Oryctolagus cuniculus: one gene and its partner. The protein of the gene in region 1 interacts with the protein of each later gene in a pairwise test. Links are inferred from orthologs where the notes say so. Each region holds a gene or a part of one and is shown on either strand. Other genes may lie near its edges. The genes, in order: RAB3IP and PLOD3.

Evidence for each region.
Region 2: the proteins of RAB3IP (region 1) and PLOD3 interact in binary tests that used the Homo sapiens proteins (3 or more experiments, as listed by UniProt). The link is inferred for Oryctolagus cuniculus from reciprocal best matches to the Homo sapiens genes RAB3IP and PLOD3.

The regions. Positions count from the first base shown.
Region 1 is NC_091442.1:72,314,909-72,319,186, forward strand, and holds the start of RAB3IP (rab-3A-interacting protein), read left to right. Parts: upstream 1-1,254; 5' UTR 1,255-1,395; intron 1,396-2,043; exon of another isoform or gene 2,044-2,182; intron 2,183-2,310; 5' UTR 2,311-2,479; coding exon 2,480-2,511; intron 2,512-4,278. UniProt on the Homo sapiens protein: Guanine nucleotide exchange factor (GEF) which may activate RAB8A and RAB8B. Promotes the exchange of GDP to GTP, converting inactive GDP-bound Rab proteins into their active GTP-bound form.
Region 2 is NC_091450.1:43,400,077-43,403,537, forward strand, and holds the end of PLOD3 (multifunctional procollagen lysine hydroxylase and glycosyltransferase LH3), read right to left. Parts: coding exon 3,441-3,461; intron 3,303-3,440; coding exon 3,161-3,302; intron 3,069-3,160; coding exon 2,955-3,068; intron 2,857-2,954; coding exon 2,788-2,856; intron 2,532-2,787; coding exon 2,427-2,531; intron 2,026-2,426; coding exon 1,879-2,025; intron 1,568-1,878; coding exon 1,442-1,567; intron 1,094-1,441; coding exon 938-1,093; 3' UTR 647-937; downstream 1-646. UniProt on the Homo sapiens protein: Multifunctional enzyme that catalyzes a series of essential post-translational modifications on Lys residues in procollagen. Plays a redundant role in catalyzing the formation of hydroxylysine residues in -Xaa-Lys-Gly- sequences in collagens.

The DNA of each region.
Region 1 (4,278 bases):
TCTCTCCTAATTAAAGCCCTCACTTTCCTGTGCATTCCTCTCACTGAATAAAAACGCTTAAAAACGTAAAAAAAAAAAAAAAAGAAAAGGAAGGAAGAATTACAGAGAGGCAGAGGCACAGAGAGAGAGAGAGAGAGAAGGAGAGAGGGATCTTCCATCTGCTGGTTCACTCACCAAATGGCCCCAATATCCGAAGCTGGGCCGATTTGACTACCAGCCAGGAGCTTCTTCTGCGTCTCCCACGTGGGTGCAGAGGCTCATGGACTTGGGCCATCTTCTACTGCTCTCCCAGGCCATAGCAGGGAGATGGAATGGAAGTAGATCAGCTGGGACTTGAACCATCACCCATATGGGATGCCGGCACTGCAGGCTGCAGCTTTTACCCAGTATCCACAGCGCCAGCCCCAGAAAATTTGGGTTATTAAGGATTAGCTTGCTCAAGGCCAGCCCCACAGTTAGGCCAGAAGTTCTGATTCCAATAGCCACAAACCTACTTTTTACTGCCTCTAGTAGATCTGATCAGTATACCGAATCTTTTACTAGCCATAGCCACATAATGGCGATTGTCTTTTTTTTTTTTTTTTTTTTTTAATCAGACTTTCAGGAGCTCGGTTCTGTCAGTATTTTCACTTCTCCTACCTGGAGAACTTAAAATGTGTATGTGGGGGGTGGAGGGGGCGGAGAGCGAAGTTTGATAACAATAGGTGACACAAAAGAGAGGAGAAGGCAGGTACAGAAAGGACATTCTGGAATGCTCTGGCAATGGCTCGAACGCAGCGGTCTAAGTTCTATCAGTCTTTCCCTCCCAGTCCCCGCCATGCACACGCACACACGCGGTAAGGTTCATGTGGACGCCGTCTCGGGTTGATTCTAGCAGTCCACAGCTCGCCGCCACCGTGCCTCTTCCGACGTCGGGTGAAACCAACGCCGGGGAAGCTACCTGGAGGCCTCGCGCCGGCGGAGGGCAACACGGCATGGCGCCGTCGCGTCCGTTCCCACGGAAACCGCCCGCAGAAGCACCTGGGGCCCCAGCGGTGCGAGCGGTGGCACCTGCCGCGAGCCCCGCCCGGCGCCAGGGGGCGCGGAAACGCGTCGGCTCCTCCCGCCCCACACCGGCCGCGCCCCGCCCCGGAGGCCCCGCCCCCGGAGGCCCCGCCCCGAGCCCCGCCTTCCCTCCGCGGGCGCCGGCCGCTCCCGGCTCCGGGCCCCGCTCCTGGCGCAGGCGCAGTCCCGCGCTCCCTCGGCGGCTCCCCGGCGCAGTGCGCTCGCCGCCGCCGAGTGTAGCGGCTTCGGCCCGCCGTCCTCCTCTGCTTCTGGCCGTTTTGGAGGCGCGCGCTCTCTTGCCTCTCTGCGAGCTGCCCTGAGTGCGGGCACTGGCCGCTGTGGATTCGTCAGGTGAGTGCGGCCGCGAAGAGTGGGAGGCCTGGGGCGTGGAGCACCGCCCCCCTCGCGCCTGCCCGCCTCCCGCGAGCCGGCCGGGAGGGACGTCTGTGGCAGGTGCAGGTGCCATCGAGGCGCGGGCCCGGCGGGCTGCCCGCCTGGGCACTCGGGCTCCCAGACCCGCGGCGGCTGCGAGTGGTGGGGGCCTCGGCGCCCCGGGTCAGCCGGGCGCCCCCGGGCCGCTGGTGGGCGGCGGGCGGCGGCTCCTCCTTGTCCCCCGGGCACGGGCGCGTTACTTATTAACTGCGCGGTCCCGAGCGCCGGAGACGGGCAGCTCGGAGCTTGGTTACCTGTGTGCGAGCGAGCGCGGCCGGGCCCCGGGCCCCGGGGGTCGCGGAGTGGGGTGAACAGACTTCCCGAACAAGTGGGAAGCCCGGGGCAGCTCCGAGGCCGCGCGGGCGCCGTGGACCGGGACCTGGGTCACGCCCGCTTCTCAGGCGCCCTGCGAGGCGTAGAGGTCACCCCCGGAGGTTTCGGCGAAACCTGGTGGGAGAGAGCGAGCCGGGAGCCTCCTACCCCAGGGAGGCACTCGGCTCTGCCCGGCTTTCGCAGGCGCTGGGTGCAGTTGGGACACGCTGCACCGACTGGTCATAATGACACTGCCCTGCCGGCCTTAGCAGCTCTCCTTGGCGCCCCGGGAAAAGCCAGCGAGGTGGCTGTGGAAGGGATGATGCTGGATGCAATCCGCAGCACGTGGAGAGCTGCCAGTTAGGAGAGTTGCAATAATAATACTATCTGCCTGGTAAGATGCTGGAAAATCAGAGAGCCGAGTTGAACAGAGGCAGCTCCTGCGAGGCTGTTTAGTTTCCTGGCAGTGTTACTCGTTCCAAGGCTATCTGTTATACACTGTTTTCCCCCTGACTCTTTCAGTGTGGGGAAAGAGCCCTGGGAGCCAGCCCTGGAATGATTGCATAATTGGAGAGCCCGGTAAGAGGATTACAACGAAACTCCGCTGTTGTGAATCTATTGAAAGACCCGCTTTCTCTCCATTATCCTTATTCTTCTCTGGCTCGTGCAGTTTTAACGAAAATAATGGTGAATGACACATCAAGGAGAAAAGAGGCAGAATAGGTTTGTATACTCGTCACAGTAAATATTTGATACTGTTAAATATTTCACCAGTTTTATGAGGTCTTGTTCTGTTAATGTTATTTATTTACTAGTACTGTGCATTTTGATAGGACTTCTCAGGTTTAGACAGTCACTGTATTCCAAATATGGTTGATGTGATCTGATCCTAAAGCCTTTGTGGAATTTCTGTGAATAAACTTCACAGTTAAATAATTTTACGACAGTGGTGTATTTCTTACTATTAGAAGAAAAGCCTGCGAATGTTTTCTGTTGTAATGGTGTTATATATTAACGCATGCTTTCGTGACCCGCAGTGTCTAAGGTAACTCTTCCTCGTGGGTTTGGCACACAACTGAACACCTGTAACTTTTCACCAGGATGGGTACTTGATGTGCATTTGCTTTTAATTAGTGAGATTTTTGATTAGATCCAGTTGTGCTTTCTGAATTCATGTGGTTATATGCTTCTTTAATCTCTGCTAAAAGGTCTATTTATTTATTTTGAAAGTTTCAGAGACGGAGAGACAGACAAGAAGGATCTTGCATATGCTGATTTCACTCCCTGGATGGCCTCAATGACCAGCACTGGGCCAGGCCCAAACAAGGAGCCAGGAGCTTCATCCAGGCCTCCCACGTGGGTGGCAGGGGCCCATATACTTGGACCATCTTCCCCTGGTTTCTCCAGGCCGTTAGCAGGGAGCTGGGCTGGAAGTGGAGCAGCCGGGACTGGAACCAGCACCCATGTGGGATGCTGGTGTCCTGGGTGGCAGCTTAACCCACTGCACCACAGCGTCACCCCTTGTTCGTTAGTATTCTTTACCTCTGATTTTCCCTCAACTCTCCACTTGTCCTTCCCTGCCCAACCCCTGACACAGGCTCTACAAATAATTGTTAAAATGGAATAGGTCTTAGAAATCTAGGCCACCCCGTCCTTTTTTAATAAGGCAGAAAAAACTTACAGGTGCAGTGGTTTCCATTGATTGTGGTGATTAGCATACATTGTTTGCCCCCTCCCAGGCGGGACTCACTCAACGAATGAGTGAGCTGGCCAAAGGAAGAATGATTTAACTTTCTGCTCCATCACTTACTAAGCCTATGACTTTGAGGGAAGCATTTAACCTCTCTGAACTTGTTTTCTACATTATGGAAATGCTGTCAGACCACAGCAAGTGCGGTTGCCAGCACTCTGCCGGTTTTCGTGTTTCAGCCTAGTAAGAACTTTTTTTTTTTTTTTTAAAGGCAGAGTGGACAGTGAGAGACAGAAAGGTCTTCCTTTTCCGTTGGTTCACCCCCCAATGGCCGCTGCGGCCGGCGCACCACGCTGATCCGATGCCAGGAGCTAGGTGCTTCTCCCGGTCTCCCTTGCAGGTGCAGGGCCCAAGGACCTGGGCCATCCTCCACTGCACTCCCGGGCCACAGCAGAGAGCTGGCCTGGAAGAGGAGCAACCGGGACAGAATCTGGCGCCCCGACTGGGACTAGAACCCAGTGTGCCAGCGCCGCAGGTGGAGGATTAGCCTACTGAGCCGCGGCGCCGGCCAGTAGGAACTTCTTAATGGTGGGAGGAGGATTGCATGAAATGTTCCCCGTGAGATGTGGGCGAGCCTGTTTTAGGTACCTTGACTCATTAGTCTTTCAGGACTTTCCAGGGATGTAGTTAGTTTATTGAATTTTACATATCAGGAAAAAGTGCAGAAATATGAAATAATTGTATGGTTACTTATTTATTTGAAAGGCAAAGAGTTACAGAGAGGGAGAGAGAGAGAGAGA
Region 2 (3,461 bases), on another chromosome or scaffold:
TCCCTGTCCAGAGGCCTTGCCACGAGCAGTGTTCTCCTGTCCCTGCTCAGTCCATGGCCAAACACAGGGCCTGGTCTGAAGGCAGTGGAGCACAGGGCGAGAGGACGGGCCGTCCACAAAGGAGGATAACCCCAGCGGGCCATCAGCACCGCCCTCCTGCCAGGGGGCTCCAGCTGGGGAGGGGGAAGGGTCCGGAACCAACAAAACGCCCTGGGCCAGGTGGCGTCAAGGCCTCTAGCAGGGAACAGAGAGGAGATCCAGGGGCAGCCCCCAGGGAGCCGCAAGGGCTTGGGGGTCTCCCAGAGGCTGGAAGGAGCCCTGCTCTCAGGTCTCTCCTCCTCTCACAGCCCCCTCTGCCAGGAAGCTCTCCAATGATGACCCTGCAGGGAATCCCGTTCCCTGGTCATGCCCAGGTTCAAGTTTAGGTCCAGAGCACGTGCGTGTCCAGGGGGCAGCTCCTGTGCCAGTGCCGTCCTTGGCTCCTGCACCCATCCTTGGGGAGGTCAGGGGCCTGCGTGGGGCTGGGGCCTCCACCTGAACCGGCAGGTACAGCCTTTCCCGCGCTCTGCCCGCAGTGCTGGGCAGGGGACAGGGTGGCGGGCAGGAACAGGACCAGACAAGGGGGGATGACAGACAACCCACGGACTCAGAGTTACAAATCCTCCTTTAGTGGGAGGGAACAGTCTCAATAATTTATCACCCAGGGCACCCCCAGGAGACCCTTTCCCCAGGAGCCCTTGCGGGCTCTAGGGAGGGGGCTGTGTCTGGGCAGGGTGGGGGCGGGGGAGGTGCACGACACGATCAGTCCCAGGCACGCTCAGCACACATTCAGGACGCGGGGAGACCGGCGGCCGCCCCTTTCCGGCGGCTGGGGCTGCGGCTGGGGCTCCCCTGAGAAGGCACCATGGCAGTGAAGGTTTGGCACAGTGGTTGCGTGTCAGGGGTCGACAAAGGACACCATGATATAGCGGGTGCCCCGAGTGGTGGGCAGCCCCTCGTGGTAGTGGGTGAGGCGGCCGGGGTGCAGGAGCCCCCAGCCCTTCCGCGGGGCCGAGATCACGCAGTCGTAGCGCAGGAAGCGGCAGCCGCCACCCTGGTGGGGGGAGTGAGAAAGGAGCAGGCGAGGGGGCTGAGCACACACCTGAGCTGTGGGGGTGGTGCCACACGGGGGGGGGGGGGCATCTGCGGGAAGGGGGCAGGAAGGCACGGGGTGGGGGTGGCAGGAGCTCCAGGTAAGGGTCCCCCCCACCAGGGCATAGGGCATGCACATGGGGAGGAAGGCACGGGGTGGGGGTGGCAGGAGCCCTGGGTAAGGGTCCCCCTGTCCCGGGCGTGCACGTGGGAGGAAGGCACGGGGTGGGGAGGTGGCAGGAGCCCTGGGTAAGGGTCCCCCCGCCCCAGGGCATGCACGTGGGTGTGTGCTGACGGGGGAGGGGCTCACCTCATAGTCCAGGCCCTTGTGGTTAAGGGCCACGTTGAGGGTGAAGGTGGAGGAGTCGTGATGTGGCCGCAGAGAGGGCTGCTCGTCCGGCCGATAGCGAACCACGAAGTTCATCACCGCCCGGGCCTGCAGGTGCAGAGAGCAGAGGATGGGGGGAGGGGCTGCTGGGGAGAGCACAGCACCCCCCCACACACACACACACCTCGAGACCCCCAAGGTCTCACTGCTAACTGGCGCCGCGGCTAAGCCACGATGCACCCCGGGTCTCGGCCTGCCTACTTCTGGCCCGGTCCCTGTCCCCGCTCCCCGTCTCATTCCTGGGACCTGGATTCCACAGAACCTTAGACACGGGAGCTGATGGGGCTCTGGGTGGCCACTGGCAGGCTGGGGCAGAGGTGGCGGTGGCAGGGGCGGTGAGGGCAGCCGCAGCGGCCTACCTTGGTGTGGTAGCCCGGAAACAGGCTCTCGGTCATGGGGCCCACGTAGGTCCTCAGCAGCTGCAGCCACTGGTCCTCGTAGCCCACCTGCTTCATGTGGATGTCCACGGTGGGCACATTCTCGTAGCCTCCGGCCAGCCTTGAATCCTGGGGGCAGTGGACGCTGAGCCGGGGCCCCTCCGCGCCCCGCCCGGGCCAGGCCCCCTCCCCCATGCTCCCAAGTCTTCACACGCTTGCTCTCCGTGCCTGGAGCACTCCTTCCCTACTTCCTGATTTCACAGCTCCCATGAAGCCCTCCTGTCCCCCCAGGCAGGGACAAGGGCTGCCCGTCCCAGCCTCTGGAAGCTGGGCAGCTGCTGCTCGGGACAGGAGGGCAGAGCCTGCCCTGCCTGGCGCCTCGCTGCACCTGCACGTCCTGGCCAACGGCCCAGTGACGTTTCCTCGATGCAGGCGTACTGCCTGGGGCTCACTTCCCCGTGTGTCCCCCCCATCCATTCCATCGCCCCCGGTCTCAGCGTCCCCTCCTCCCGGGAGGCCTGGACCCTCACCTCATGCCGGCCTCCTGACCACTGGCCGTAGTGCTCCATCTCTTCCACCAGCTCGTCACACATCTGCTCTGACAGCAGCGGGAACCAGTAGACATCCGGGCACGGCTGGGGTGGGGCGGGGAAAGGAGGAGCAGCGCTGGGGTGGGTGCTCACAGAGCAAAGGCAGAGGGGGAGAGGGAGGAGAGGCTGGGGCAGAGCAGGGCGGCCTGCGGGTCCGGGAGCCCCAGGTTCCCACCCCTCCACAACAGGCACCTCTTTTTGACATCCTAGTTTCACCCATAAACCGATCGCTACGCCCCGGACACAGAGGAGGTCGCGCGGGCTGGAGCCCCGTCGGCTCGACTGCTGCCACAGGACTCACCTGCTCCACCATCCCGTCCCCTTCCAGGGCCCTGCTATAGTTCTCGTGGATGTACTGCTCCTTCCAGTCCTGGGGGGGCAGGATGGGGTGACACAGAGGATGGGGGGGACCCTGAGATGCGGCCCAGGCAGCCCCCGCCGCCTCCTCGGCTGCCGGCCCCCACTCACCACAGGGTTGTCGAAGATCTGCCACAGGTCGGGGTGCAGGTGGTCCGTGTCGTAGCGGGACGTGGCCAGGAGGCGGCCAAACTCATGCCGGTTGCTGAGGTGCAGGAAGATGCCCTGGGTGGGGGCGGGGCGGCGAGCACGCGTGAGAAGGGCGCTGGCCACGGCAGCGGGCGGCCGGCCCCCGGCACCCGCCCGCCAGCCCTCACCTGGTCACGCAGGCTCTTACAGAAGGCCATGTCCGGGTCGGTGTCGCTGCTCGAGAACACCTCTCTCTGGGGCAGCTCGGTCCGCAGGGTCTCCCCGCGGATCACGTAGGCCTGGGCTATGTAGGGCACATTCCACACGCCCCTGGAGGCCCGGACGCTGGAGTCAGCGCCCGATTCTTGCCCTCAGGACACTCACGCCCCCTGTCGGGGACTGCGGGGGTCACGAGGCATCTCCCCACCCCCAGTGTGGCAGGAGCGCCTGGGAGCAGGCGACACTCACACTCGCTTCCGCTGCACCAGT